4 linked regions of the Tamandua tetradactyla genome follow. The protein of the gene in region 3 interacts with the protein of the main gene of each other region in a pairwise test. Links are inferred from orthologs where the notes say so. Each region holds a gene or a part of one and is shown on either strand. Other genes may lie near its edges.

Region 1 (7,377 bases), on a different chromosome or scaffold from region 3:
AGATTCTTGTTGTTGTTTTTTTTTTGGCATGGGCAGACACCGGGAATCTAACCCGGGTCTCTGGCATGGCAGGCGAGAACTCTGCCTGTTGAGCCATCGTGGCCCGCCCCAGAGTTGAGATTCTTAACCTCAAACCAAGTCTGGCTGTATTTGTCCAGCCTTTCACCTCTCCTGTGCTGAAAAGCCAAATGGGTTAAGGCATGCCAGGTCTCTACAGGGCTGATTGCCCCCTCCCGAAGGCGCTGCTCTCCTTCCTTGTCCACTCTTAGACCTCTGGTACAGATGACCAGGCCAGAGCTATCAGCTAGAAAGGGCTGTGGTTTACATTTTTATTTCCTTTCAGTGTGCCAAGGATCCGTTTCATAAGGGAAGTGTCAAAACAATTGTCAAAAAGAGAAAAATATTCCCTTCCTTTTCTTGGGACAGGACAAGCAAAGACCTTAGAGGGTGGAGAGAGGAGTCCCCAGATGGGCCATCTGGGCTCAAGTAGAGGTTGGCTCCTCTAGGTTTGTGTGTGTGGTGAAAGCAAACACTGCTCAGAGGAAGGGCCCAGAGTTCTGACCCCGAGGATAAAAGTTCTCTCCAAAGGGTCTGATGCTCAAATCTGAGTAGCTGAAAACATGATCATTTTTACATAGGCCTCTTGTCACTTGTCATTTCAGTCGGATAACTGTCTCTTTTATTCATGTTTCCATTTAGATCACGGTTTATACTTCACTGAACTTGAAAGGAATGCTTGTGTTTGTGTGTGAGCACCTGTGTGGTTTGGGTTGTGTTGTGCCTCTGCAAGTTTCCTTTGGTGTTGAAAGGAAAAGGTATTTCTCTCCCTTCCAAGCATGTTCTGCAAATTGATGAACATTTGCAAATTGCTTTGAGATGCGTTAATTTAAGGTGTGAAATAATAGATCTTGTGCAAAGGCTCAGCCACATTTCTGGCATTGATGGATTTCTCTTCCGTCTGGTCTGTGATTTGGGGTGGTAAAAATAGTCCTTGCTTCCACATTTTTATCGGTTTTTTTTTTTTTTTTTTTTTTTGCTGACATCATTCTTAGGAAGTAGTGCACACATGCCATACAGAACTTTCCTAGGCCATCGTATCTGGCAGCAGTGGGAACACAGAGCTCTGGGAGCAAGGGTGCTTCTTGGAGAGAAGGCAGTCATTGGGGTGGTCTAGGTGCCTCCTGGGTGTCTGTGAAATTGCTTTAAAATGAGCGGGCAGTGGGTAGTTAGACTTGGCCGCCAACCAGGGGCAGACTGTGGGGGCCTTAGTGGCTCCTTGATTTGTGGCTATCTTTTCATTTCCGACTTTTGGGTAGTGGCAAGATAGCTTTTTGGGAAAATTTAGCTTAAAAAGAGAAAATTAGGCCAGTGACTTCACCCCTTGCCATCTGAGTTGAGTGGCGCCCACACCGCTCAGTGTCTTCCTTTGGCCAAACCTGAGAAGTGGCGATCTCAGGCTTGACTCCCAGACAGAGAAGCCGACTTTGGGGCAGATCAGTCGATGGTGTAATTTCCTGTGACGTTAAATAGGGGAACTTGAAATTGGAATGTGATCTAGCATTTTGACATCTGTCTCTCTAATGGGATTTGCTTGTATGGAAACAGACCCACATACACAGGCCCCAGGTTAGTTCCAGGCTGGCACTGTTGTCTCCAATTCTGGATTTTTCCACAGGCGCCTTCTCGGGTGGTCTGGTTGCAAAGGCACCAGACTTCTAGCCAAGCCTCCTTGGCATCCACTGGTAGGATCCTAGCATCCCACGAAACCCGGCTCACCCCCCGAGCTGACTCCATATGGGAGGTGAATGAGGGGAGGTGATTGGAGTTGAAAGGTGGCGCGACTGGCCGTGATCCGAAATGCATTCGGTTCCAACTGTCTTGATTCACATGGAGCCGTTCTTTCTTTTAGACATCTGCGTGATGGTGACCTCATAGAAAAAGAGAAAGAGGGCTTTATGCAAGAATTCCATAGAGTGTGAAGGAATTCTGACAAGGGAGGGGAGGGGAGTAGCTGCTGGGAGCCTGCAGTGCTGCATTTTACCCTCGTTGTTGGACCCTGAGGCTGGGGGTGGGGGGCAGGGGGTGCTGTGAGGAAGGGGGGGCAATGCTCGACCCCAAGGAACAGAAATCCATTGAAGAACTCCCCTGTGCCCAAGTCGTAGCTGAGGTGCCGAGGTTAGTCTCTCAGATATAACGTCCCTGCGGGCGAGCAGCAGGGCTGGGATTGTTCACGCTGCCTTTCCCCAGAGCCTGCCCTCTTTCGTCCCTGATTGTCCACAAGGTCTTTGAAACTGGGAATTATTGGGAAGTGATCTGCAAGTAGATAATACTTTAAAAGGCTCTTCAGCCCTGATCATGCCTGCTGCCAACGGGGAACTCAGTAGGCTGTCAGTGCAGAGGAGAGCATGCTCCAGGAGCACTGGGCTCGAGAGGGACCCGTGGCATTTCAGCGGACTGGGATGGACAGGCTATGGGAGTTGGACAGATTCTCGGCCAAATGGAAACTGAGGCCCAGAGAGGGGAGGACTCGCAACCACAATCAAAGCTTGAAGACAAGCTTTGAGTTCCAGACCTGACATTTCTGAGCAAGTCACTTTAGCTCTCTGGGCCTCACTCCCCTCATCTGGAAAACAGGGTTGGGATGATGACCTGCTAAGACTTGGGGGAGAATGCAATGAAAATAATGCTCAGGAAGTGCTCAACATGTGGGTGGCACCTGGGAGGCGCTTGAGGGTCACCCCTGGAGGTTTTAATTACCAAGGACTTGCCCAGAGTCACACAGGCAGGAAGAATGTGCCCCGAGGGTTTGCAGTGCCCTTGCCCAGGGCTGAGAGGAGGTGTTGGTGCCCGCCCCGCCCCGCCCCCAGCCGGGTGCTGCTGAAGCTCTTTTCTATGCCCATGACTCCCAAATGGGGTGGAAGGAGACAGGTTGGAGAGAGGCAAGATTTACATGTCAGGATGGCCCTGAGGTGTCTCAGGAAACAGGTATTGTGCTTTCCTCCCCTCCCAGCCCCACGTGGTGAGGAAAGCGAGCCTTCAGACGTTTTTGGTGCCGCCTCTCGGAGTTGGGAGAGTCTCGGGAGGCCACGAGAGCTGCGCCAGCCGTGGTGTTTTATTAAGCGAGGCAGGTGTTTTGTTAATTATTTACACAGCGTTGGCCCCATCCGTGGTCTGTGCTGACAGCAGCGGCTGTCACAGACTCGGGCGACGGGGCAGCCAATTCCTGGTCAGAAGTGAGCACGAGACTCCCTTCCCCCAGGAGCCCCCATCGGCCAGGCCTGAGGGGGTCTGTGTGTGCCCTGCGCCCCCTCCTGAGTCATTTGGGGTTCCCTCAACCGGCTGGTTTTCCCCGAGGAAGAGAAGAGAGATCCTTGGCCTTCGGAAGGGGCCGCCCTTCCTGCGGCAGCCCCTGCTGGAACTGTGCCCGGCTCTTTAGACGGGTATCGCACCTGAGACCCCGCCCCGGTTGGTGTACTGGGGAGAGGGCGCCGGAGGCTCCGGGGGGGCTCAGAATCCAGTGTCTCCCCCTCCCCCGCCGGGCGAATGTGTCTGGAAAAACGCAGGAGTGACCCCAGGCTCGTGGCCCTTGATTCTCAGGCACAGTTCGGCATGATTTGCCTTAAAAATCAAACTTGACGATGAGAAATCTGAAAAGAATGGGGCCTGGGGTCACAGTCTTCCCTGCAAGGCCCCTACGAATACGGCCAAGTGCTTCTCCTGTTACCTGTTTTACATAAGGAGGTTTTGCATAGGAGTTAATTTAAGAAAAGGTTCTGATGCCTAAAAAAAGAAAAGTATGAAAGCCTCTCCGTTTACACGTGGAGATACTGAGGCCCAGAGAGAGGCGGCGGCAAGGCCTGTGTGCCTTGTGGTTGGAGTCCTGCCACGCTGGTCCTTCAGGCCGAGTGGACTCCAGTTGGTTAACCAGACACGCCTGTGCTGGCTGGAATGTGGCGCATCACATACGCGTTTGTTCGTTCGTTCATTCATTCATTCATGAAATGTGTTCCAACGTTTTGGGTCTGGCTTTGTGTCGGGAGCCGGCAAAGCTGTGCCTTGGCCTCTCCCTGCTGGGTGGGAACAGAGTTTGGGTCATGCCCACCTCGGAGGTGTTTGTGAACAATTTGCAGCAGTCGTCTCTGGGGAAACGGGGGGGGGGGCATGGCTTCCAAGAGTGAGGGGCATCTGAGCCAGCCTAGAGGGAGATGTGAGGTGTGCTGGGCAGGGAGAGGGCACGGGCGTGTCCCAGGCAGGGCGTTTGGAAGCTGGGAGGCCTGAGAGGGCTGGGGTGCAGGGTGAGTGGGTGAGTGGGGAGGTGTGGGACAGGGCACGGGGTTCAGGACGAGGGCCCTGCGCTGCGGACAGGCCTGGGACACTGTGAAGCCAGGAACCTCCTGCTGCCTCGTCAGCCTTTAGTCCCTTCAGCAGCTCCTCCGTGGGTACCAGGTGCCAGGTGCTATTCTGACCCCTTTCCATGGATTCACGCCCTTCATCCTCCCGGCGGTTCTGTGGGGTAGGAACTGTCATGCCCGATTTATAGACGAGGAAACAGATGCAGAGTCCAGGGTTCGTGGTGCTTAATTGCCTTCAGCGTAAGTGCTGTGAGGAAACCTGCAGCGTGCGGGTCTGGCAGAGGAGGGCAGCGGCTGGAAGGACCTCCGGAAGGACCGATTAGGCCAGGAGCTAGCACAGGGGATGGCCAGTCGCACACCTGGAAGAGGACCTCCCAGGTGGCCGGAAGGAATAGCATGTGGGAAGGTACCATTGCTGGGAGCGTCAATTGTTTATCTGGTGCCTGAGAAAGGGCCAGGGAGGCTCAGCCACAAAAAACACCGGCGATCGGCAGGAGGGGAGGCTGCTGAGGCCCTCAGGCTCTGGGCAAGGTTTGGTCTTTAAGAGGTGGGGCCCTGCTGCTTCTCCAGCTTCACTTCTCAGTAGTTTCCCCCTGGCTCACTCTGTGCCAACAACTCTAGCTGCCTTTCCTTTCCTCAGACATACCAAACATACTCCACCTCAGGACCTTTGCACTTACCATCCCCTTTTTCTGAAATTCTTTTCCCCTGATATTCACATGACTTTCTTCTAGACTTCATGCAAGGCTCTGCAACATCACTTCTCCAGAGAGACGCTGTCATCCTCTCCCTATTAGTCAGCCCCTCTTGTCCCTTCACTCTCTATTCCCTGGGTAGGCTTTAGTTTTCTTCATGGCGCTTACCTTTCCCTGACATCATATATGTGTTATTGGCCTCCCAGACTGAAAGTAAGCTTCCTGAGGACAGGGACTTGAAATGTGCCCAGATCATGCTTGGCATACAGTAGGTGCTCAGTATTTATTGGGCAAATGGGAAGTTTTATGTGGGCAAGTGGCAGGATCCTTGGAGAATGTTTATATGGAGTTAACTAATCAGTTAGCAGGCTTTGCTGGCAGCAACGGCCCCTCCACCCTCCTCCCTCCTCCTACTGTTCATTGAGTAACTGGGTTGCACCCAACTGACCCTCCTCGATGAAGAGGAAGTTTCTAGAGAAAGGACTCAACTGCAAATTGCTCCAAGTAGGAGGAACTTGGTTGCCAAAACGTAACCCAGAAGGGCTTGCACATGCCAGAGTTATATGGGTCTCCTTCCTTTGCTGCTTTTCTGCAGAAGTAGCTGCTGAATGTCTATGGAGGGGCTTGGGGAATGGGTACCAGGGTTCATATCTTAAAGCTGCATTTTTGTGTGGAGCATGCTTTTTGTTTAAAGAATACATCTTTTGTATAATTGCTTTGAGAAGGCAAGGGGCTAATCCTTCCAAGCCACCTCTGTTTGGCAAATGAACTGGTCCAGCAAACAGGGAATCCCAGGATTGAAAGAGAGAATAGTTCTCCAGCTGGTATGGTCTTGGCGGGCCACCGGGGTGGGTGTCCAGATGGCGGGACCACTGGGCACCACACGGCAGGCAGACAGGGAGCCGGGGAGAGGGATCCCACACCCTGGGTTTGATGGGTCCGGTGAGCCCGGCTGCATTTGGTTACAGCGGAATCACAAGTGTGGACTTGGCATTCCCAGCCCTGTGTCTGTGTGTGCATTTCCTTTGTTTGCTTCCCCCAGGAATTTCAGTGGCCTTTGTGTTTGTTTTAAATGCCAACCTCCTCCTCAGCTAGCCGAAGAGGAAATGAGGACTGGGTTTTTGTCTGGGCAGAGACTGTAACAAGGGTGGGGACCGCCTTAGAGCCAGCCTGATGGTGACAGGGCAGCATTTGGGAAGCATTCTGCGGTTTGTCCTGAGGGGTGACAGGCTCAGAGAGTGCTGGACTGGGCGCTGGGGTCACTGATGAGTAAGACTCGTGCCCAGTTTTCACGGCGCGTCAGCACGAAGCTGCCGAGCACCACTTTAGGACCAGCCTCCGTGCTGGCCTCTGGGAGAAACACACAGGAATCAACGCGGTCCCTTACTCACCTTCCTGGGGAAACATGAACAGAAAATACTTAGACTCCAAGCCATAGATAGTTTTCATTTGAGCATGCTTTTGTGGTATCCCGTGTCTTCAGCTATCAGTCATCCAGAGGGTAGGCACATGGTGACCACGGTTTACAAACTCCCAGATGGACAGTGCTCTGTAAAAGTGCTGCGGTGCCGTTTGGGGGCGGGAGAGGCGGTTCGAAACCCTTCTTCGGTCGCTGGTGTGTGAGAAGCTCCTGATAACATGAAGTGCTTGTGGGGCGGCATCTTTGAAATTGCGCAGTGCTGAAAATTCGGGGACATTTGGTCGCTGTGATGTGCTAATGTTAGCAATCGAGATATGTAATTACCCAGAAAACACCCTTTTCCTACCCGCTAAGGGTAACTGGAGAGACTTGATTTCTCCGAAGGAGTTTCTTACACAGTGTAATTTGGGTCAGCAGACAGGGACTCATTATCCCTCATTAATTTTTTAGCTAATTAAGCGATTTATCTGGTCACGCGTTTATTCCTTCAATCGCTGTTCATCCATCAGTGTTTCCCGAATGCCTCGTAAGTGCCTGACCGGTTCTAGGCACTGGGGATTTAATGAAACAGGAGAGAAAATATCACCGCATCCCCCATGTGTGCCCAGCCCTGTGCCAGCCTGTGGTGTGGGGCAGCAGGGTACGGATGAATTAATTCATTTCTCGGTGCACATTTACTGAGTACCTACTATGCACAGACCCCTGGAGATGCAGAAATGAACCATGGCACAGACCCTAAGGGCTTGAACCCTCGCCCCGTTGTGATGGGGTCTTTTGGTCCCCACCCTCTGCTTTCTGTCATAAGCCCCCATTCACGGGCCACGTGATGGCGTCTCGGAAATGAACCGGGAACCATCCAGATGCCCCAGGAGCCGACGTGAGAACAAGCATCCCCTTCACACATCGTGTC
Region 2 (7,369 bases), on a different chromosome or scaffold from region 3:
CAAAAACTAAAGGACAAATACTGTATGGTCCCACTGATGTGAACGGACATTCGAGAATAAACTTGGAATATGTCATTGGTAACAGAGTCCAGCAGGAGTTAGAAACAGGGTAAGATAATGGGTAATTGGAGCTGAAGGGATACAGACTGTGCAACAGGACTAGATACAAAAACTCAAAAACGGACAGCACAATAATACCTAATTGTAAAGTAATCATGTTAAAACACTGAATGAAGCTGCATCTGAGCTATAGGGTTTTTTTTTTTTTTTTTACTATTATTACTACTTTTATTTCTTTTCTCTATATTAACATTTTATATCTTTTTCTGTTGTGTTGCTAGTTCCTCTAAACCGATGCAAATGTACTAAGAAACGATGATCATGCATCTATGTGATGATGTTAAGAATTACTGAGTGCATATGTAGAACGGTATGATTTCTAAATGTTGTGTTAATTTCTTTTTTTTTCTTTCTCTCCGTTAATAAAAAAAAAAAAAATCTCTGATTTGTTGCCCTTCTTCTTTTTTAATGTTGGTACTGAGAGCTATAAATTTACCTTTCAGCACTGACTTTACTGCATCACATAAGTTTTTATGTGTTGTATTTTCATTTGCCTCAAAATATTTCCTAATCTCCCTTGTGATTTTTTCCTTGATCCATTGGTTGTTTAAAAGCATGTTGTTTCATTTCCACATATTTGTGAATTTCCACTTCTTCCTCTATTTTTGATATCTAGCTTCATTCCATTGTGGTTAAGGAAGATATATTGCATGATTTCAAAACTTTTTAATTTATTGTTTTGAAATAAACAATATAGACTTGTTGTGTGATCTATAAAATGGTCTATCCTGGAGAATGATCCATGTACACTAGAGAAAAATGTGTATTCTGCTGCTATTTGGTGAAGTTTTTCATATATGTCTTTTAGGTCTAGTTGGTTTAGAATATCATTCAAGTCTTCTATTTCCTTATTGATCTACTGTCTAGATGCTCTATCTATTATTGAAAGTGGTGTACTGAATTCTCCTACTATTAATGTAGAGCCATCTATTTGTCCCTTCAAGTCTGTCAACGTTTGCTTCATGTATTGTGGGTCTCTGCTGTTATGCGCATATATAGTTAAAACTGTTATGTCTTCTTGACCCCTTTAGCAGTATATAATGACCTTATTTGTCTGTCCCTTGTAGCAATTTTTTATTTAAAATCTGCTTTATCTGATAGTAGTGTAGTTAGCCCATATCATTTTTGGTTGCTACTTGTACAGTATATATTTTTCCATTCCTCCACTTTCAACCTACTTATGTCTTTGAATTTAAAGTGAGCTTCTTGTAAACAGGATGTAGTTGGGTGATGCTTTTTTTTCATCCATTCTGCCAATCTCTGCTTTTGACTGAAAAGTTTAACTCATTTATATTTAAGGTAACCACTAATAATGCAGGAGTTCACCTACCATATTGCTATTTTGTCTTCATAAGCCTTATACATTTTTTGTCCCTCACTTCTGTTAAGGCCTACTCTTAAATTTATTTGCTTTCTTGTATTATACCATATTGAGTGCCTTCTCATTTCTTTCTGAATATATTTTCATATATTTTCTTTGTGGGTACCATGGGGCTAAAATTTAACCTCTTAAATTATTAATAATCATATTTGACTTCATACCAACTTAACTTCAATACACTGATGGAACTTCATACATTGATCTTATACCCTTCCGCACCCCCACCTCTTTTATACTTGTTGCAAAATATATATTTATACATTGTATATCCAAAACAATAGATTTATCATTACTTTGTATACATTTGCATTTTAGCACTTGTAAGAAGTAACTGGAGTTACATACTAAAAAGTACAGTAGTACTGATATGCATAATTACCCATATGCTACCTTTACCATAGCTCTTTATATGTTAACGTCATTTTGATCACTGACTAATGTACTTTCATTTCAATCTGAAGAACTCCCTTTAGCATTGTCTTTAGGATAAATCTAGTGGTAATGAACTACATCACCTTTTCTTTATCTGGAAATGTCCTAATCTCTCTTTCTTTCTTTTTTTTTTTTGTATGCTGTATGGTAGGGTCGCATTTCATTCTTTTTCCATGTGACTATCCCGTTATTGCAGAACCGTTTGTTGAATTTTTGTTGTTGCTGTTGTTGTTGGTTTCTTTGTTTTGGGAAGTGCATGGGCTGGGAATCAAACCCAGGTCTCCCACATGGTAGGCGAGAATTCTACCACTGAACCACCTTTGCATACCCTCTCCCTCATTTAAAAAAAAAATTTTTTTTAAACATAACATATAAAAACTAACATTCTTACCATATGATCATTCCATTCTTGGTATATAATCAATAATTTACAATATCGTCACATAGTTGTATATTCATCACCATGATCCTTTCTTAGAACATTTGCATCAATTCAGAAAAGAAATAAAAAGTAAAAAGAAAAAAAAAATTAAATATACCATACCCCTTACCCCTCTCTCTCATTGATTGCTAGTATTTCCATGTGCTTAATATATTTTAGCCTTTGTTTCACCTATTTTTTCTATACCTCTTATCACTCCCTTTCATTGATCACTACCATAATAATCCACTAAATTTATTTTAACATTTGTTCCCCCTATTATTTATTTATTTTTAATCCATATGCTTAACTCATCTGTCCATGCCATAGATAAAAGGAGCATTAGACACAAGGTTTTCACAATCACATAGTCACATTGCGAAAGCTATACCGTTATACAATCATCTTCAAGCAATATGGCTACTGGAACACAGCTCTACATTTTCAGGCACTTTCCTCCAGCCTCTCCATTATACCTTAACTAAAAAGGTGATATCTGTATAATGCATAAGAATAACCTCCAGGATAACCTCTCAACTCTGTTTGAAATCTCTCAGCCATTGACACTATTTTGTCTCATTTCTCGCTTCCCCCTTATGGTCTAGAAAGTTTTATCAGTCCCTTGATGCTGAGTCACAGCTCATTCTAGGATTTCTGTCCCACATTGCTAAGAAGGTTTATACCCCTGGGAGTCATGTCCCACGTAGAGAGGGCGAGGGCAATGAGTTTGCTTGTCACCTTGGCTGCTCTCCCTCATTTTGAAGTCTTGCCAAATACAAAATTCCTCATTGGCAATTGTGTTCTTTTCAGCACTTTAAATATTTCATTCTGATGTGTTTTTCCACAATGGTTTCTAGTGAGAAATTGGCACTTATTGGGATTCGCGTGTATGTAATTTTCCTTTCAGATTTTGGAACTTTCTCCTTGTCCTTGGCATTGGACAATTTGATTACTATAGTTCTCAGCTTGGGTGTCTGAGTTTACCCTGTTTAGGCTTCACTGTGATTCTTAAGTGTGTGCACTCAAGTCTTTTGTTACATTTCGGAAGTTTTCTGCCATTATCTCTTTGATTATTCCCTCTGCCAGTCACAAAAGGCCCCACATTACATGATTTCTTTATATTATGGTCCAGAATTGGTAAATCTATAGAGACAGAAAGTAGATTAGTAGTTGCTTGGGGCTGGGGAGAAATGGGGCCATTAGGCCATTTTAGCTCAAGGACAGAGTTTCTTTATGCTGTTGATGAAAATATTCTAAAATTGATTGTGGTGACATTCGCACAATTCTGAGTAGAGGAAAAATTGAACACTTTAAATGGGTGAATTGTGTGGTATTTGAAAGTATCGCAGTTAAACTGTTACCCTTGGCCCTCCCCCCAAGGTAACAATAAGAAGAAAATCAGGCTCCTTCTGTGTGTCTTGCTACTTACATTCTTTGGGGCCTCTGAGAGATGGAGAAAGCTCCATCTGAAGCTAGCGATTGTGTTTCAATTCAGTTTTAAACACTTGTGCGTGTGTACAGTAACGCATAAATATATATATGTACATAGCAACTTGGGGCCTTTGGGTAAATTCTAAAGGAACCAGATCTGGAGGGATGTTCGTATCTCGGCCCTCGCTCAGCCTTCATTCCTCTTGTCTCTCAGTCTCTGTGGCACGGACACAGCAGCGTAACCCGGAAACCCCGGAATCGAGGAAAAGTCCCTGAACCCACAGGAAAGCAACAGGGCTGCCAATAAAAACAAAGAGTAGGGCCAAAGTGTTTGGTGAGGCCACAGCACCGAACACAAGGAATCGCCCCCTAGGCTGCTCAGCCCCACCCGCCCGGTCCCAAGAGGCGAAAAGCCACGCCGGGGGCCTACACCGCCCATCGCCGAGAACAATGCGTTCAGCCCAGCGCATAGGCTCGACCCGCAGGTTGTCGGGAAATGTAGTGTCTGATGCCAGAGGCATGCTGCGTCGACACTCGCCCACCAGCAGCCATGCGAAACTACAAGTCCCATCATGCTCCGCGAGATCCTTATTGCCCAGCTTTTGCAGGGAAGGGAGCTTAGCCAACATGGCTGAGGGCAATAGGAGCATCCAAACGTGCAGTGGGGTGAACGGCAGGCAGGATCCTGTCCCCAGTAGTGGCGGCTTCAACTTTCCAGAGTACGAGGTTCCCGAGCTTAACACTCGTGTCTTCCACGTGGGCGCCTTCGGGGAGTTATGGCGCGGCCGGCTGCGCGGGGCCGGGGACTTGTCGCTGAAGGAGCCGCCGGCGTCTATGCCGGGGCGCCGAGGGGGCGCAGACTCTGGCCGAGAGGACGTCGTGGTGGCCCGGGATCTGGGCTGCAGCCTTGCAGCGGCGGCCGAGCTGAGAGCTGTTTGTGGGTGAGTTAGGGCCCAGGGCATTTTGCTGTTTAGGGGCCAGGTGGGGTGCAATCTTACTCGGATCCACCCCTGGGAAGGTTCAGACCCCTGGAGTAGGAGGACCGCTGTTTTAGAAGATTTCAGTCGGCCGGAGCGTCTGGTTAGACTCACCCAGAAAGGTCCTGTGATTCCAACGTACAATATCTGCGAGTTGGGGTGAAGGAGCGAGAGAGCTGCATAAAAGATTAATTTTTCTATTAGCTAATTTTTAAAATGCTTCTTAATAAAGAAAAACTGGGGACAACGAAGTGTACCTGCCATTGACAGTTTGATAATGAAGGAACCTGAGCAATGGTGAAGCTGAAGAAGACCTAATCCGAGGAGTGTTAAAACCTTGATTAATTCTTGTATCTTTTGGAGGCCTGCGGCTCTGCCGTTACTCATTTTTTTTTTTTAAGTACCTTATTAGGGGGTGAAAACACAACAATAACTTTTAACGGTCTTTCGCCATATGAAAGTATTGACTGCTTTCCATCGGTCATATATCCTTTCATTACTGAGTATCGGCATAAAAATCATTTCCTTGATTTGGCCTCTGCTCTGAACCGCCTGATGGATTTTATCTGATATCTTTGTTATTCATTTATATATTTAGGACATAACCCTGACTTCCTATAGTCAGTCTTAAAGTGATTGTTTATCCTTTCTGGTTTTTTTTTTTTTAAGCCTTGATAAACTGAAGTGTCTTGAGGAAGACGGGGATCCAGAAGTCATCCCAGATGATACTGACTTGGTGACTTTGGGGTATGTAAGACTTTGCTTTTTTTTTTATGCTATTTATTTTTAAAAATTTTTTTTAACATCATACTATGAAAAGTTGAAAGTCTAATATCATCATCCATATACCCATCCCTTAAATTCAACCATTGTTAACATTTGGCCATATTTGCTCTAGCTGTATGTGTATGTGATGCCTGCTGTGTGTCTTTTTCTTTTGCTGAACCATTCAGTAAATCATGGCCATCACATACTTTACCCCTAAATACATCAGCATATAGCTCCTAAGAATATTCATTCTTCTGCATAATTAGAGTGGTATTCTTACGCCTTAAAAAATTGGCAATCAGTACATAACCTCGAATATCAGTCCATATTCAGATTTGTATTTGTTTTTCATTATGTGTTCACAAAGGTACAGTTAATTTCCTAGGTAGTTTAAGAAGCAGTCTAAATACTCTGACAGTATGCCTCAAGTTGTCTGTGGTAAAGGACCATCTCTGGTTTTTTGTTCTTTTTTTAATTTTCAATCTTTAGCAGATACATATTTTTGTAAAGTGCTGTAAAAATGAATTACTAGAAAAATGGAGTAAAAAAGACAATATAAATCTAATAATAATAATCTAAAATTCCTGTCAAATTTTTACAAAAATTTATAAATGTTTACTCTCATTTTTCGTGCACTTTGGATAATAAACAGTCAATACCTGTCTGCCAGCCATGTTTGAGAAGCACTGTTTTGTGATAATAATGCTGTAGAGGAATTGTGTTTGTAATAGTGGAATTTATAATTCCCAGTTTATAGCCTACTTATTCCAGACCATCTCAACTAATGTTCTGTCATCTTGGATAAAACCTGTTTTTTCTACCTCAAATATACAGACAGTCACTTCAGTTCTACCTTGTTTTGTTTTGTAATAACTGCCAGATCTGTTCCTCTTGATCCTCATTGCTAATTTACATTGGCAACACTTGGAGAACTAGAAAAGCGCCTATGGGTTGTCCAGTCTTTTCTCCTCATTTATTCATCATACTATCACCTGAGTATGCTCATTTGCTTAGACATTTTCTGTGACTCTAACTCCCCTCTATGGACAAATTTCAAACTTCTTAGCCAGATATTCAGACCCTTCCCTTTATAGCCCAAATCTGCTTTTCCAGATTGCTTTTCAGTCACTTTTTCTTTTGAATGGCTAAGGAGGCATGTGACCCCTCCCCCATCTGAAACCCACCTCATCTTTTAAGACCCTAGGATTCTTTTTCACTTTACCTCTGCTCACCTCTGTCCCTTAGGGTATAGATGCATTTATTCTGCCTTGAGCTATTCTAACATTTCTAAAGTCCTTGAAGGTTCATGGAGACTCCAGATTTTCTCGTCTGTATATTGTCCTTAAGCCTACTGTGCTACTTTGATCCAGTTGGCACGCTGTAACTATTGTTGATTATTAGTTGGGTTTTTCTAAAATGCACATTTGATTGTGTCATTCCTTTGTTTAAAACCCTTCAAAGACCCTTAGGCTAAAGTTCTGAATCCTTTAAGTGACTCAGAAAGCAGAATGAAACTTGCTGACCTTTTCAGCTTTATCTCTGAGGTGTTCCAGCCACATTGTCCTGTTTTTCATTTCCTGGAATGTGCTCTCTCACTCTTGGCCTTTCCCTGGAACACTCACTCTTCCTTAAACCCCCGGCCATGTTGATTTCTATTCATCCTTTGAATCTTAGCCGAAAGACTAAATACTCCATTTAGGTACCCTCATATAGCACATTATACTTATCTATTCAAATACTCATCGTTTTATTATAATATACTTGTTTAAATTTTTGTCTTCCTAGTTAGACTTGAAAGATCTGTAAGCTTTATCTCACATTCATTCCTATATCCTCAGT
Region 3 (7,296 bases):
GGAGCTGCCCCCTTTGTCTTTCCCCCTAAACTCTGAGATGTGGCCACTGTCAGAAGAAAGCCAGAATCCCTTTATTCGCTCAACAATGATTCCGAGACCTGGTGCTTGAGTTCCACGGGGAACAGAGGCACAAGTAGCATCCTCCTGCATATCAGCCAGGCGTGGGTGTATGGCAGCCAGACCCTGGCACTGTGAAATTTTCAAAGGACAGTTGAGCTGGATGAGAGAAAAGGTTTGCCCATGCAGAAAACGTATGTTCCTGGCAGAGGCGAGGAGGCGATGACCAGGAGGCCATCTCTCAGTATTGGAAACAAATCACTCAATTTATTAATTTTCTTGAGCAAAACAGAGAGGCAAACTCCTGTCACGTGGGACACAAGGTTAGATGGACTTCCGGGGGCAGAAGGCTTGGGAACAAGATTGGCCTTAAGGTGTACAAGCTGTGTCTGTTCCTGATTGGCTGGCGTTCAACAACGTAGATGGCCCTGATTGGTTGGCTGACAAAGCATGTGTTTACTCCTGATTGGCTGGTATTCTGAGGCATGTGTGGCCCCCTGATTGGCTGGCATTCAGAGGCGTGGTCAGGGTCGGATGTGATTTCTGGGTGAAACAGATTGAAAAATCATTTCCCGCGGTGTCTTATCGTGGAGACAGAGCAATCAGTCCTTTCCTAAACATACAGAAATTCTTTCATTCTCAATGGTCTCAATGGACGTGAATTGTCGGGGTGGCTCTGAACAACGCTTATTTGTGTTACGGGACAAAGTTTGTGGGTTCTTTTGCCCTTGTGTGCAAATGGCCAATTCCTGAGACATTGGGGTTTCTAAGAGAAAAAGAGTTTATTGCTAGGCACGTATCAGGAGAGCAGATGACCTAACTGACCTAAAAATCTGTCTCTCTGAACTGCAGTAATTCTGATAGTGTTAGAGTACCAAAGGACGGGCAGGTTTTCGGATGATGAGCACAAATGGCTCAAGATGATGGGGTTAGAGATGATCTAATTATTGAGCATGTGCAGACTGATTACATGCTTACCCACAGAACTTATATAAAAAATGGTGATCTTCATATACTGATGGGCGTGATTTTTAGTATTATAATGAGGCATAGGCCACAAATGGGTTAAAGTCTAAATTACTGTGCAATGTCGGGCAGGCCCATTTGGGGTAGATCCAGTCTCCGTTATCGAAATAACCTTGGGCTTGGGGTGGGTTAGTTCTGGGCTGACCCAAGACCTTTCATTAATAAACTTTAGGGGCTCTCTTTAGTGATCACAAAACTCTAAAGTAAAAAAATTAGATAAACGGGTACAAGTGAAGGTTAGTCATCAGGTTGTTTATGATCACAGGGGCACATTATCAGAGATCAAGGCAGCTGCTTTACAATTCAAAGATTTCAGGTATTTCCCTTTGTCTGCTCTAAAATGCCAGAAAGTAAAAAGGAGTATCTATATAATATAAATTCAGTAACCACAATCATCCCTTCAATCCTAACTTCTTGGTTACATTTGGGGAACTGCCCCTCTCTTCTCTCCAAGCCCATGGGATTGGGGGCTGGCCACGTCACACCAGTAGGGGATAAGCTGGGACGCCCTCCTTGCAGACAGCAGCAACCAGTGCTCTTCCCTCCTGTTTTGAGAATGAAGGAAACACTGAGGGCAAGCATGAGCTCGTCCAGTCATCTCAAGGCAGGTCCCCAAAGCTGTCCTGATAATTTAGTTAGCCAATAAGCCCTCTCCCCTCGTTTTGGTTGTGGGGGTCCTGGGGAGCCACGGGAGGGCTGTGAGCGGAGGAGGGGCAGCCGCATCTCTGGGCATTGCTCGCCTCCCCAGGGCCCCCTCGCCCGACCCCGCATGAGTGCCCAGGAGCAGCTGGAGCGCATGCGGAGACACCAGGAGCGTGGACGGCCCAGCCCTCGCCCCACCTCGCCCCGGCTCCTCACCCTGGGGAGGACGCTGTCCCCAGCCAGACGCCAGCCTGATGTGGAGCAAAGGGTGAGGGGAACGGGGTGGGGCAGTGGGGAGTGGGGTGATCGTGGGTGCCTCTGTGTCTGCTCTGAGCCACAGTTTCCCTCTCTGTAGAATGGGAATGCTCCCTACCCCCCTAGCCAGAACTGGGCTTCCAGATTCACCCCAACTTGTACCCGTGCTAAAGTCTGCCTTCTGGCTCCCCTCGGTGGAGTGAAAGTGGGGAGGAGACTGAAATAACAGCTCCACCTAAACCACATTCCCCCTTCAAGGTGGGGGTCTCCGGTCTGGATTCCAAGCCCAGCTTTTCTTCTCAGCTGCTATGAGTTGTCAAAGGGAGAAAAAAGAAAATCATCCAAATTAGGAAATTGATTTTATTTGGGCTGTTGCAATAGGGAGAGCACCCCAGATCCAAAGATGGGAGGGGCTCCATCGGCAGGGTGGTTTAACTTTAGACTTTTATAGGGATGTGAAGACAAGTTATAGGGGAAGTGATTCCACAGCTGTCAATCCTTCAGCTAAACAGGAAATGGTTATCTCTGTATCTAGCTAGCTTTGGGGGGCAGAAACAGTTCAGCGGATCGTTTACGAAATAAAGGATGGGGATTTGGAGGGGCAGTAGGGGGGGTCACTAGGAGTTCTAGCTAAGTCCTGTGGGGAAGGGAGCTGTTTCCAGGAACAGGAGTGGATGGGGGCCACCTTAACTCACCTCTTTTCCAGGGCTGCAAAAACAAAAAAAAAACACAATAAATTATAATTTTAAAAAGCCGGCCCCGATTTTCCACGTAAGGATAATTCTAACGACCCGATTCCTTCCCAGCCTGGCCTAGACTCCCTGGGACAGTCGGGAGCCTCGAAATGGCTCAGAAGCTCGGGGTCCTGGAGTAGGTGAGGAGTGGATGGTGGCGGCAAGGGAGCAGGGAAATTAATTTGCCAAAGGGGAAGGGAGTACCATCATTACTATTTTAAAATTATTTTTATTGTGGAAACATGCAAAATGACATTTCCCATTTTAACCACTGGCAAGTATACAATTCAGTGGCCTGTCATTAAGATGAAATTCTCCCGAGTACTGACATACAGGTGGCAGAATCTATTAAAGACGCAGAAGTTTCTGAGAGAAAATCAGAAAGCCCTGGCTCTCCGGTGAGAGCTGCAAACTTGTCCAAACTCCGTGGGTGGATTTCCCACCTTGCCCCTCCTTAGAGGAAATCGGCTTCAGTTTCGGACGCCTGGCTTAGAAATCCCCTAACCCACGCGTGGGACGCGCCCAGTTAAGGACCTGCAGAGACACATCTAGTGAAGCACCCGCGGGGAACTTCCGCTCCCACCACAGCGGCGAGTTGGACACGCACCCCCAAATCTCCCCTTTTTCCTAGTCCGAGGAACACCACCCCATACTTGCCCACGTCCGAAGGTCACCGGGAGCGGGTCCTCAGCCTGTCTCAAGCCCTGGCCACTGAGGCGTCACAGTGGCACAAAATGATGACAGGTGACGCGCTGGGGGCTGGGACCCCTGGGATTTAGGGAACAGGGAGTGGGAGGCCTGGAATCCTAGGTCCTATCGAGGAGGGGGCTGCGGGGAATGTTGTCTGGGTGAGGATATGGCCGGATCTTGAGAGTCCTAGGTCCCAGGCAGTGGTGGAGCTGGAGAGACCCCCGAGTGTAAGGGAGGAGGGGCTGGGGGGGCCTGGACTTGGGGGTCTGGGGGCGGAGGGGCTGGGGCCGGGACTCCTGGGTCGTAAGGTTTGCCATTCTCGTTCCCCACCCGTCCCCTCCAGGTGGAAACCTGGATGGTCCGGGAGAACCTCTTCCATCCCCGCCGCCGCCGTCGGACCCCACGCCGCGGCTGATGTCTCCCCCAAGCTCTCCTCCCGCGGCGACTTCCCGCCCGGCGGGGTCCAGGCGGCGGGGTGGTGGGCGCGGCGGAGGCCCCGCCCCCTGGGAGCCCACGTGGGCAGGCGAGGCCGCGCCCCCCGCCCTGGCGGCGGCTGAGGGGGCGTGGCCTCTGCGGGTCACTCTGCTGCAGTCGAGCTTCTGAGCCCCGGGACGCCCCAGCCAATCGTGGGGTGGGGGGCGCGGCCTGGTCCCCCCGCTGTGGTGTGGCCGGGAAGGGGGGCGGGCTCTGCACCCGGAGTCTGGTTTTCTCAGCACTGACCAAATTCGGAATAAAACTTTGAACTTTTGGTCAACAGTTTTCTTTCTATCTTTTTGGGGGTTTGGCGCAGGAGTGTCTGGAAAGCAAAGCTGGAGGCCGGGACCCCTGGGTCTGAGGGGGAGGTTCTGGGGGCCCGGACCCCCGGGTCTGAGGGGGAGGGGCTGGGGTCGCACTTCCGGGTTTCCACCTTTCCGGCACCGCCCCCGAGGCCGGCCCGCGCGGATCCAGCCCCTGTTTAGCACTTGACCCGACGCCCCCCAGCTCCTCCCCGGATTCTGGGGTTGGAAGGGGGCCCAGAGTGAGGGACAGAGCGAGGGACGCAGCGAGACGGACAGTTGGGCCGGGATGGCCGCGGGCGCGCGCTACGCGGGGAAGGTGGTGGTGGTGAGCGGGGGCGCGCGCGGCATCGGCGCGGGGGTCGTGCGGGCCTTTGGTGAGTTGGGGGCTCGTGGGCTTTTGGGGCCTGGGGCTAAAGGTGTGGGAAGGGGGCCTCCAAGCCCGGCCTGAGGACCCGCATCCAGTCTCCATGGCTAAGGACAGGGTGCCGGCGGTCGCCTGGGGCCAGAGGTTTTGGCGGGGTGTTCAAAAGTTAGTTGGCCCTTCTCGGGGTCTCAGTTATGGTAGCTACAAATGGGTGGCTCGGGGAAGATGGGTTGCCCAGCCTTGGGGTTTACTCTGGAACCCAGGGGTGGAGGAAAGGAGCCAAGGCCTCGCCATGCTAGGGCCTCTGCCCTTTGTCCTTTGGGATCACGAGGAAAACACACGGGGGTGGGGGGGGGTTCTGCCCCACTGCAGGTGGCCTCAGGGGAGCAGCAGAGGCCATTGCCAAGGTACAGGCAGGTAATCAGTTGACTTTTCTATTCTCAGTGGAGAGTGGAGCCCAAGTGGTCATCTGTGACAAGGATGGTGAGGGACCCTCCGCCCTTGCCCCAGCCTTCCTCCCTCCCTCAGACCCCCGGGTCCCCCAGCCCCTTCTCCCTCAGACCCGGGGGGTCTCCCTGCAGAGTCCTGTGGCCGGGCCCTGGAGCAGGAGCTGCCTGGAACTGTATTTATTCGCTGTGATGTGACTCGGGAGGAAGACATGGCGGTAAGCCTGATTCCTGCCCCTGCTTCCTGTCGCTAGCGGCTACCATCTCATTTTCATGTCTTTCTCCACGAGGCTGAGGCTGTGGCAAAGCTGTCTCCTCTTCCTTCCCTCCTCTCCTCATTAAATTCCCCAAGGCATCAGCCCAATGTCATTTGCCCCTCCAGGCTCCACTGATTCTGCTGATGTCTCTCTGGAAAGTTCTCTTTTATTTCCGTCTTCTCCAGGGCTCTTATCACAGTTATCAGCTGCGTGGAAGTGACTAAGTCCCTCACAGTGAAGGAATTCCGTAACAATGTTTCCTCCCCCACCCCTCTCTCTGGGTCTCTGCCCCCTCTCCCTGGGTTTCCGTCCCCTCCTTTTTGTCCCTGGACTGACGATGGAAGTCTGCGTTGAACAGTCCGTTGGTATCTGACAGCCCTGGCGCCCCCTCACCGCCAGCTGTGGGGAGCTCCCTGGCCCCCGGCCTCTCACAGGACACCTTTCCCCACAGACCCTGGTTGGCGAGACCATCTGCCGCTTTGGCCGCCTGGACTGTGTGGTTAACAACGCTGGCCACCGTGAGTTGTGAGGTTGGGCCTTCCCCAGTGCCAGCCAACCTGCCGCCCTTCTATCGCCTCCTGTGCCTCTGTTTCCCCTTTCCCTGCCCCTCCTTCTCTCTATCCATGCTGGTAGAACAATGCAGCTATGGGATTCCCCAGGCCTGGACGCAAATCCTGGCTGTGTTCATCCCTGCTGTGTGCCCCCAGGCCCGTGTCTTCACTTCTCTGTGCCTCAGTTTCCATATCTCTACAATGAGGACAATAGTAATAATCATAAGTGTTTCCTTATAGGGTTGGTGTGAGTACTGAATGAGACCCAGCCTTGAGCCTGCCCCACTTACATTCCATCACCACTGTAGCTGCTCCCTGCCTTGTAGCTTCAGTCTGCCCATCTGTGAAGTGAGGCCCATGGCCTTTCTCTTAGCTGATGACAGCAAGGCTGCCCCGTGGTGCATGGTTTATAGGACTTGGTAAGGTGGCTTCGAAGGGAAATTACCACTGACTTCATGACTGGCCTTTGTAGGAATGCCTCAGTGTGGTAAACCGGGGCTCAGAGAGGTGACCTGGCTGGCCTGGCATCTCCCTTGTCAGCTGGGCAACTTTGAGCAAGTGACTCACCCTCTCTGGGCTGTATCTTCCTCCTCACGTTGTTGTAAGGGTTTAAAGAGATGGCGGTTGCTACTTTGTCCTTTCTGCGTCCCTTATCCCTTCTACAAATACATATTGAGCAACTACAAATACAGTACATAGATCTCTATGTACGTACATATGTACATCTCTGTGTCTCTATTGACAGAGAGGACAGGAACATGACAAAGTGGTGGCAACTGATGCCATGAGACAACTTCCTATCCCTGGGCTTTGCTTCTATCTCCCTGCCCCATCCTTCCGTTTGGCCCCTAACGTTGTCTTCAGATGACTCAGTTTCCTTCTTTTCCCACTTCTTATCTTTCCCATCATCCTCTATCCCCCCCCCCCCACCTGTTTGTCTTCTGGCTGTTGGTTTTTCTATCTCTCTTCCCATAGTTCCCAGATTCCTCCTATTTATTTAACCAACATGGTTGCAGTACAAACTGTCAGGTACAAATATTGACCCAGGAAATTTCTAAGCCCAAGGCCTAGATGTTACCCTCATGGAGTAGGTGTGGAAATTGAAGCAAAGAGAGGGGAAGTGCCAACCCAAGTCCCGCAGCCAGAAAGTGTCAGGGCTGGGGTTCTAGTTTGCTAGCTGCCGGAATGCAACACACCAGAGATGAATTGGCTGCTAATGAAAGGGGATTTATTTCGTGAAAAACGTGTCGTTCTTCAGAGGAAAGGCAGCTAACTTTCAACTCAGGTTCTTTCTTATGTGGGAAGGCACAGGGTGATCTCTGCTGGCCTTCTCTCCAGGCCTCTGGGTTCCAACAACTTTCCCCTGGGTGATTCCTTTCTGCATCTCCAAAGGCCTGGGCTGAGCTGCGAGTGCTGAGATGAGGTATGCTGAGCTGCTTGGGCTGTGCTACGTTGAGCTCTCTCATTTTAAACACCAGCTGATTAAATCAAACAC
Region 4 (6,529 bases), on a different chromosome or scaffold from region 3:
CTACTGGCTTAGAATGGGCAAAGTGCTCTTTCTCTCTGTGCCTCAGTTTCCTCACTTGTAAAATGGGCCTTGGGGATGATTCTTACCTTAGTGAATGGGTGTTCGACTCAGAAGCGGGCACACAGGAGGGGCCCAGGAGAGTCCAGCTTCAAACAAAAACTCCTTTTTGATGGACCCATTTTTGGAGCGGTGTTATTTTTGAACCAGGCAAAGGTGGTTGGCACCGTCCCAATGGAAAGTGCTAAGAGCCGAACCTCCAGAGTCCAGAAGCAACCGTGCCCCTTATGGGCTGGGCGTCTTGGGGTGGATGCCTTACCTTCTCTGTGCCTCGGTTTCCTCATTTGTCAAAGGGGCAAAATAATGCCTCCCCCACCCCAAACTCAGGCTGGGTGGTGCGTGAAGGGCTTGGCGAATGCTGACTGGACGCAGGAGTGAGTCCCCGGTGCCCCACACTCTCCCCGCCACCCCCGACAGGCCAAGGGACAGTTTAAGAAGCAGTCGGTGGCTAACAGCGTGGAGGTCTCGGTGCCTGTCCCCAGTGATGCTGACTCCCCGCGCTTCAAGACCAGCGTGGGCAGCGCCAAATACGTGCCGGAGAAGAATGTTGTGATCTGGAGCATCAAATCCTTCCCGGTTAGCACTGGGCGCAGGCGGGGATTCTGGGGTGGGGGTGGGGGTACCTGACCCCAAAGAAGAGAATCATGGGGCCCCACACGCACCGTCGTCCTTTAGGGGTGCCAAAGGTGGAAACCAGGCCAGCCTGGTGCATCTCAAGGAAACCCAGCTCTGGGTTCGAATCCCAGGCCCTTGCCTCTCGGAGCTGGTGGGATTGAGAAACCCACATCCCCTACCCCCGCCCTTCCCCGTGGAACCTCAGTTTGCCCAGCTGTGAAGCAGGAGTGTAACACCCCCCTCCCCCCTCAAGCCACTGGAGGACTTGGCCTGTCCCCAGCACATCTGGGGTGTCATGGTCCCCGATAAGGTTTGGGGGGCTCAGAAGCAGTGGTTTTGAGTCTCGGCCAGGGGCCTTTGGTTCCTTGTCTGTAAAATGGCCCAGAAGACACCCCTGCTCCAAGCATCGTTTCCATGGGGAGTGGGACTGGGAGCGTGGGGGAGGCCCCCGGACTGTCTCATGTCCTCGTGTGCCCGCAGGGCGGCAAGGAGTACCTGATGCGGGCCCACTTCGGCCTCCCCAGCGTGGAGAAGGAAGAGGTGGAGGGCCGGCCCCCCATCGGGGTCAAGTTCGAGATCCCCTACTTCACGGTCTCTGGGATCCAGGTGGGGTGTGGGCAGGAAGCTGCCTCTCCTCCATGCCGGCAGGTCCCCCTCTGTCCTGCTTCTTGACCCAGGCCACCTCCCATTCCCTGGCTGGAGTCACCTCTCCCCTGCCTGCCATGCCTCCCCCCGCTCTCTGCCTGGGTCCCCTCTCCTCTGCCTCTCCCTTTAGCCTGTCCCAACTACTCCCCCCTATACACACACTCTCTCTCTCTCTCTCACACACACACACACAGCTTGTTCATTTCTCTCTCTCCCTCTCCCACAAGCTGTCCCTCCCCATCCTCTTAGCCACTGCCAACTCTTTTCCTCTTCCCTTCCAGGTCCGATACATGAAGATCATTGAGAAAAGCGGCTACCAGGCCCTGCCCTGGGTACGCTACATCACCCAGAGTGGTGGTAAGGCAGCCTCGCGCCCTGCGGGGGTGGGGGGGAGTGGGGTCAAAGAGATGGGGGGACCCTGACCATCATCTGGCTCAGAAGCACTCCCAAACCCAACAGGCCTGCCCCTCCTTGTCACCCAGCCACCCGGCCTTGCCCACCTTCAAAACAGCAGCAACTGCTGCCCTGGGGGGCCGTGGGGAGCAGGCCAAGGGCTGGGTACACAGCATCTCATCCGTTTCCAGGAGACAGGCATGGTTACCCTTCCTGCCTTTGGCTCCATGCTTGGCCTGGTGACACACAGAGGGGTGGGGTAGTTTTGGCTCAGGAGCGCTGGGGCAGGGAATGGAATTGGGGGCTGCCTCTCTGTCTCCCCCCCTCCCAAATTCTGAGATGGTCTCTGCCCATCATTTCCTGTTTCCTGCAGATTATCAACTTCGGACCACCTAGAAGGAGAAGAGATGATGGGGCTTGGATATTGGAGAGGGGGAGGGGGGCCTCCCCCTCTCCAGGCTGGAAATTTTAGAGGGAGGGAGAGCCCAGAGGGGAAGGGGCAGGACGGTGAGGGCAGGCCCCTGACTTGGCAGTTTTTTGATCCCAGTACCTGGCCCCCTTCCTTTACCCATGGGCTGGCAGGGATGTTCTCCCTGCCCCCCAATGCTTGGGGTGACCCCCGATTTTATATGAAGAAATAGGGAAGGGGCTCGACACCCCCCCCTCACGAGTGCCTTCTTTCAGTGACCTGCCTTAGGGGGTGTCGGGAGCCCCTCCATCAGCTGCTGAGCCCAGAGGCCCCGCTGGCCCATTCCTCTGAATTTTAGGATGTCATTAAAAAAGAGTCTACCAAAAAAATTTTTAAAAGGTGTCTAGCCACTGCCGGTGTACTTCCTGGGCGGTGGGTGGGGTAGGGGTGGAGTAGGGACTGGGCTGCCAAGAACGGCCCCGGGACATTGAGATGGGAAGTGGGCAGCTGACATACACACCCGAGCTCCCCCACCCGCCTGCTGCCGGGGACCAGTGCCGCAGTTTCCACGCGGGTTCGCGGGTCCCGCAGTTCCCCCCCCTTCCGGAGTGTGTTCCCCTCCCCAATCCCATGATCGCCACAGACCGCCTAAGTCAGATCACGCTCCTCTGCGCCGAATCCTCCCACGGTTCCCACCCGGGTAAAAGTAAAAGTCAAGTCCTCGCCGCAGCCCACAAGCCCTGATCTGCCCTGCCGCCTCCTGGCTCTCCCCTTCGCCCACTTTCCCCACTTCGCTGTTCCTGCACGTGCCAGACTCGCTCCCGTCGGTCGTTCTCTCGGCCTGGGGATGCCTTTTCCGAGAAAGCCACATGGCTCCCTCCCTAGAGGGAGGCCGCTAGAGAAACGTCACCTTCTCTGGGAAGCCCTCCGTGACCTCCCTGTTTCAACGCTCTTCCTTTCCCAAGGAACCACCACTTATTTGTCCTGTTTTATCAGCTTCCCAGCTTTCACCACTCAGAGAAGACTGCGTTATTGCCCTTTCCCCCATGCGCAGGGCCCATTTGGGCGACAGTGCACGGCAGGAGCTCGGTAAATGTTTGCACGCTTGCAGGCTGAAACGATTTGGTTCCAGTGTTGGAATGCGCGCCCCGGAACAGCGCCTGCACGGACTGCGGTGAATGAATGAAACCCAAGCGCTCAGCGCATGGGAAGGGCCAACGCACGCTGATCGCGGGGCAACGGAGCGGAATTCTGGACTGGGCGGCCCCCGCCCTGCTTCCCTCCCTCCTCTGCCCGGGCCTCGCTCCCCCGGGTCGGTTAAACCCGCCCGCCTTCCCGCCCGCCGCGCGCGTTTGAAAACCGAAAACCCCGCCAGGGCCGGCGGCCCACCGGTCGCCGCGTCCGGGCCAATCAGGAGCCCTCGAAGCCGCCCCGGCGACGCGCGGCTATTGGTTGCGCGGGCCTCGTGGGCGGAGCAAGGAGAGGGTCACGCGCCGGGCAGGCGGTGCCTGGCTACAATGTAACGAGTTGGTAGGACGACAAATGGGCGCGCTCGAGGGGCGGTGCCTGGGCCTGGCTCCGCCCCCCGTGGCGGGCGCGGCGGCGGCGGCGGCGGCGGCGGCGCAGAACAGACCCCGCCCGTCGCGGAGGAGGGAGGGTGAGCTGGGGGGACCCGGCCCCCAAGGGGCGGGCGGCGGAGGGCTGGGCCCGGCTCGCGGCCCCTCGCCGGCGGCCGGCTGACGGGGCGGGGAGGAGCCGGGCTGGGAGGGCGGAGGTCGCCCCGGGGCGCCCCCTAGGACGGCCGGGCCGGGGCCGGGCCCGGCCGCTCGAGCTGGGAGGGCTTTTCGGTCGGCGGCCTCGCCCGCACTGACGCGCTGCTGGGGGGACCGCGGGGGGTCCCGCAGGCCGCCGGTGTCGACATGCTGCTGGAGGAGGTCCGCGCAGGCGACCGGCTCAGCGGGGCCGCGGCCCGCGGCGACGTGCAGGAGGTGCGCCGCCTTCTGCACCGCGAGCTGGTGCATCCCGACGCCCTGAACCGCTTCGGCAAGACGGCGCTGCAGGTGAGGCCGGCGGGCCCGCGGCGGGGGAGGGGCGCGGCTGCGGACCGGGACCCCGAGCCCTCCCCTCCGCTCCCCTGGGCCCGGAGGGGCCGGACTGGGGACCGGCTCCCCTTCTCTGCCCCGACGATGTTCGCCGAGGTCGCCTTTCGCGGGAGGATGGTGGATGGGGTGAGGTTGGGGGGAGGAGGGGGAGTCCCTGGTTTCCGGGGGGCGGGGGGTTCAGTTTTCCCAGTCGGGAGGACCTGATACTTAGGATCCGGGTTTCATGAGGATGGTTCAGGTTTCTTGGGGTTCTCCGTGCAATGGGGGTGGGGCCGGGGTCCTTGGAAAAAGGGTTTCATGCTTCCTGGGGGTTCTCAGAGAGGTCTCCGGTTACTTGGAGAATCTCACTTTACTGGGTGGTGTGCAGGTTCCCTGGTAGGTCATGTGGGGAAGGGAGTCCCAGTGGGAAAACAATTTCAGACTGCATGAGTGTCCCTAACTCCCTGGGGAGCATTTTATGGGGGGGGGTGTCTCAGGTATTCTGGAGAGCACCTCATTATCTGGGAAGTATTCCCTGGAGAAGTGGTTTTCAATCCCCCAGTGAGCATCCCGTTCCCTTTGAGCATCCCGTTCCCTTTGAGGGAGCCACCAAATACTTTGGGGGGCTGTCCCCATTCTCTGGGGGCCCATCTTCTGGGAGAGGTTTCATATTTCCTGGTGATTTCCCATTTTGGGGGAGATGGGAGCTCTGGTTCCTTGGGGGAGGGACTTAGGCTCCCTGAAAGTGTCGGGGGTGTGGGGCTACCCCCTGGGGGAGGATGTCTTGGACCCCCAGAAGTCCTTTTTTTCCAGGGGTCTCAAACAAGTCCCAGGGGCCTCGTGCTCCTGGTGTTTCTCCGGGCCCCCCTGACCCTTTGCCCTCACACAGGTCATGATGTTCGGCAGCCCCACTATTGCCCTGGAGCTGCTGAAGCAAGGAGCCAGCCCCAATGTCCAGGACGCCTCCGGCACCACGCCAGCCCACGACGCAGCCCGCACAGGATTCCTGGACACCCTGAAGGTCCTAGTGGACCACGGCGCCGATGTCAACGCACCCGACGCCACCGGATCCCTCCCCATCCATCTGGCCGTGAGGGAGGGCCACGCAGCTGTGGTCCACTTCCTGGCAGCCGAGTCCGATCTCCGTCACCGGGACGCCGGGGGCCTCACGCCCATGGAGCTGGCGCGGCAGAGGGGGTCTCAGGAGATCACGGACATCCTGCAGGGCCACTCCGTGACCCCACTGTGACTCCGGGAGGCCGGCTCCAACCACAGGAGCCCAACGGGTTCCTAGGGAAAGAGGAGGGAAGAGATACCTTCTCCCCTCACTCCTCTCCTCCAGTACTGAACGGGGAGGGGCACCAGTTTGTGGCTTGTTGTTGATTTCTGGGGTGTGTGTTTTTTGGGGGGGCATTTCTCGTTGGTTTTTCTCACCCCCTTTGGTGTGTTGGACAGAGAGGGGCTCCTACATACAACAGCTACCTAAACGGTTGTTTCCTCCGCGCCCCGGGCTGGCGGCGCTGTGGACCAGCCCCTGAGTGAGGCTGCGGCCAGGTCTGAGCCACCTGTGCCCAGAGAGAGCCCTGAAGTATGCTCCCTGCTTTGGCCATTGGGGAGGGGGGAGTGTTCCAGATCAGTAGAAGGGTGGCAGGAGGTTCATTTATATTGTGTTGGGGGCCTGTTTTCCAGTGTCCTGTACAGTGTTTAAAAAAAAATTCTATTTATTAAGCTTTATGAAAGAAAATGTTGCGTGTGATAATTTAATGTTTTTATCCATTAAATTAAGACTTGAGCATGATCTCAAATTAAAACTTGAGCTTCTGATTTCCGAGTCTGGTGTGGGGAATCGCGCGTCCAGTGAGGGGGTAGGATCGGGGTGGGGGGCCGGTCGCCGATCGCCCGGAGGCTTCGGGGAAGGGGTGACAGCGATAATTCCCAGGGCACCAGGGATGGGGCGGGAGCTGGGTGGGGCCGCGGTTTGCACTGTCGGAACGGAAGGGAGGCAGGAAACCGCGAGTGGAGAAAGGGCCCCCAGATGTCAGCTGGGTGCCCGGAGCTCCGGGGCGGGCGTGGGCGGCGGCCGCGTCCTTCCCCGTAGGGGTGGGGCCTTCGGCAAGGGGCGGGGAGGGGTGGGGAATCCCGGAAATAGCCGGGGGCGGGGCCGGAGCGGGCGCGTCCTTTAAACGGCGCGGGGGGCGGGGCCGAGCGCGACCCAGCCCCCTTCCTGCGCCCCGCCACGCGCGTGCGCATTGGGCTGCCGACCGCCATGCCGGGCCCGCGCGCGGCGTCGCCGTTGCGGGTGAACGCGGCGTTCGCCGCGCGGTACGGC

Evidence for each region.
Region 1: the proteins of HSD17B14 (region 3) and NEK6 interact in binary tests that used the Homo sapiens proteins (3 or more experiments, as listed by UniProt). The two-hybrid records come from large-scale screens. The link is inferred for Tamandua tetradactyla from reciprocal best matches to the Homo sapiens genes HSD17B14 and NEK6.
Region 2: the proteins of HSD17B14 (region 3) and SNAPC3 interact in binary tests that used the Homo sapiens proteins (3 or more experiments, as listed by UniProt). The two-hybrid records come from large-scale screens. The link is inferred for Tamandua tetradactyla from reciprocal best matches to the Homo sapiens genes HSD17B14 and SNAPC3.
Region 4: the proteins of HSD17B14 (region 3) and CDKN2D interact in binary tests that used the Homo sapiens proteins (3 or more experiments, as listed by UniProt). The two-hybrid records come from large-scale screens. The link is inferred for Tamandua tetradactyla from reciprocal best matches to the Homo sapiens genes HSD17B14 and CDKN2D.

The regions. Positions count from the first base shown.
Region 1 is NC_135328.1:46,339,724-46,347,100, forward strand, and holds the start of NEK6 (serine/threonine-protein kinase Nek6), read left to right. Parts: upstream 1-4,358; 5' UTR 4,359-4,748; coding exon 4,749-4,758; intron 4,759-7,377. UniProt on the Homo sapiens protein: Protein kinase which plays an important role in mitotic cell cycle progression. Required for chromosome segregation at metaphase-anaphase transition, robust mitotic spindle formation and cytokinesis.
Region 2 is NC_135328.1:82,052,235-82,059,603, reverse strand, and holds the start of SNAPC3 (snRNA-activating protein complex subunit 3), read left to right. Parts: upstream 1-4,363; 5' UTR 4,364-4,412; coding exon 4,413-4,726; intron 4,727-5,431; coding exon 5,432-5,509; intron 5,510-7,369.
Region 3 is NC_135342.1:12,212,937-12,220,232, forward strand, and holds the start of HSD17B14 (L-fucose dehydrogenase), read left to right. Parts: upstream 1-4,280; 5' UTR 4,281-4,469; coding exon 4,470-4,557; intron 4,558-4,991; coding exon 4,992-5,030; intron 5,031-5,107; coding exon 5,108-5,211; intron 5,212-5,701; coding exon 5,702-5,768; intron 5,769-7,296. Other genes in the region: PLEKHA4 (pleckstrin homology domain-containing family A member 4), read left to right, coding at 1,832-1,993, 2,787-2,854, 3,346-3,458, 3,748-4,007. UniProt on the Homo sapiens protein: Catalyzes the NAD(+)-dependent oxidation of L-fucose, yielding L-fucono-1,5-lactone, which rapidly converts spontaneously to L-fucone-1,4-lactone. Can also act on D-arabinose and L-galactose, with lower catalytic efficiency. Does not use NADPH.
Region 4 is NC_135337.1:91,278,825-91,285,353, forward strand, and holds CDKN2D (cyclin-dependent kinase 4 inhibitor D), read left to right. Parts: upstream 1-3,862; 5' UTR 3,863-4,038; coding exon 4,039-4,179; intron 4,180-5,089; coding exon 5,090-5,449; 3' UTR 5,450-6,029; downstream 6,030-6,529. Other genes in the region: AP1M2 (AP-1 complex subunit mu-2), read left to right, coding at 475-633, 1,153-1,278, 1,599-1,674, 2,084-2,106; protein KRI1 homolog, read left to right, coding at 6,467-6,529. UniProt on the Homo sapiens protein: Interacts strongly with CDK4 and CDK6 and inhibits them.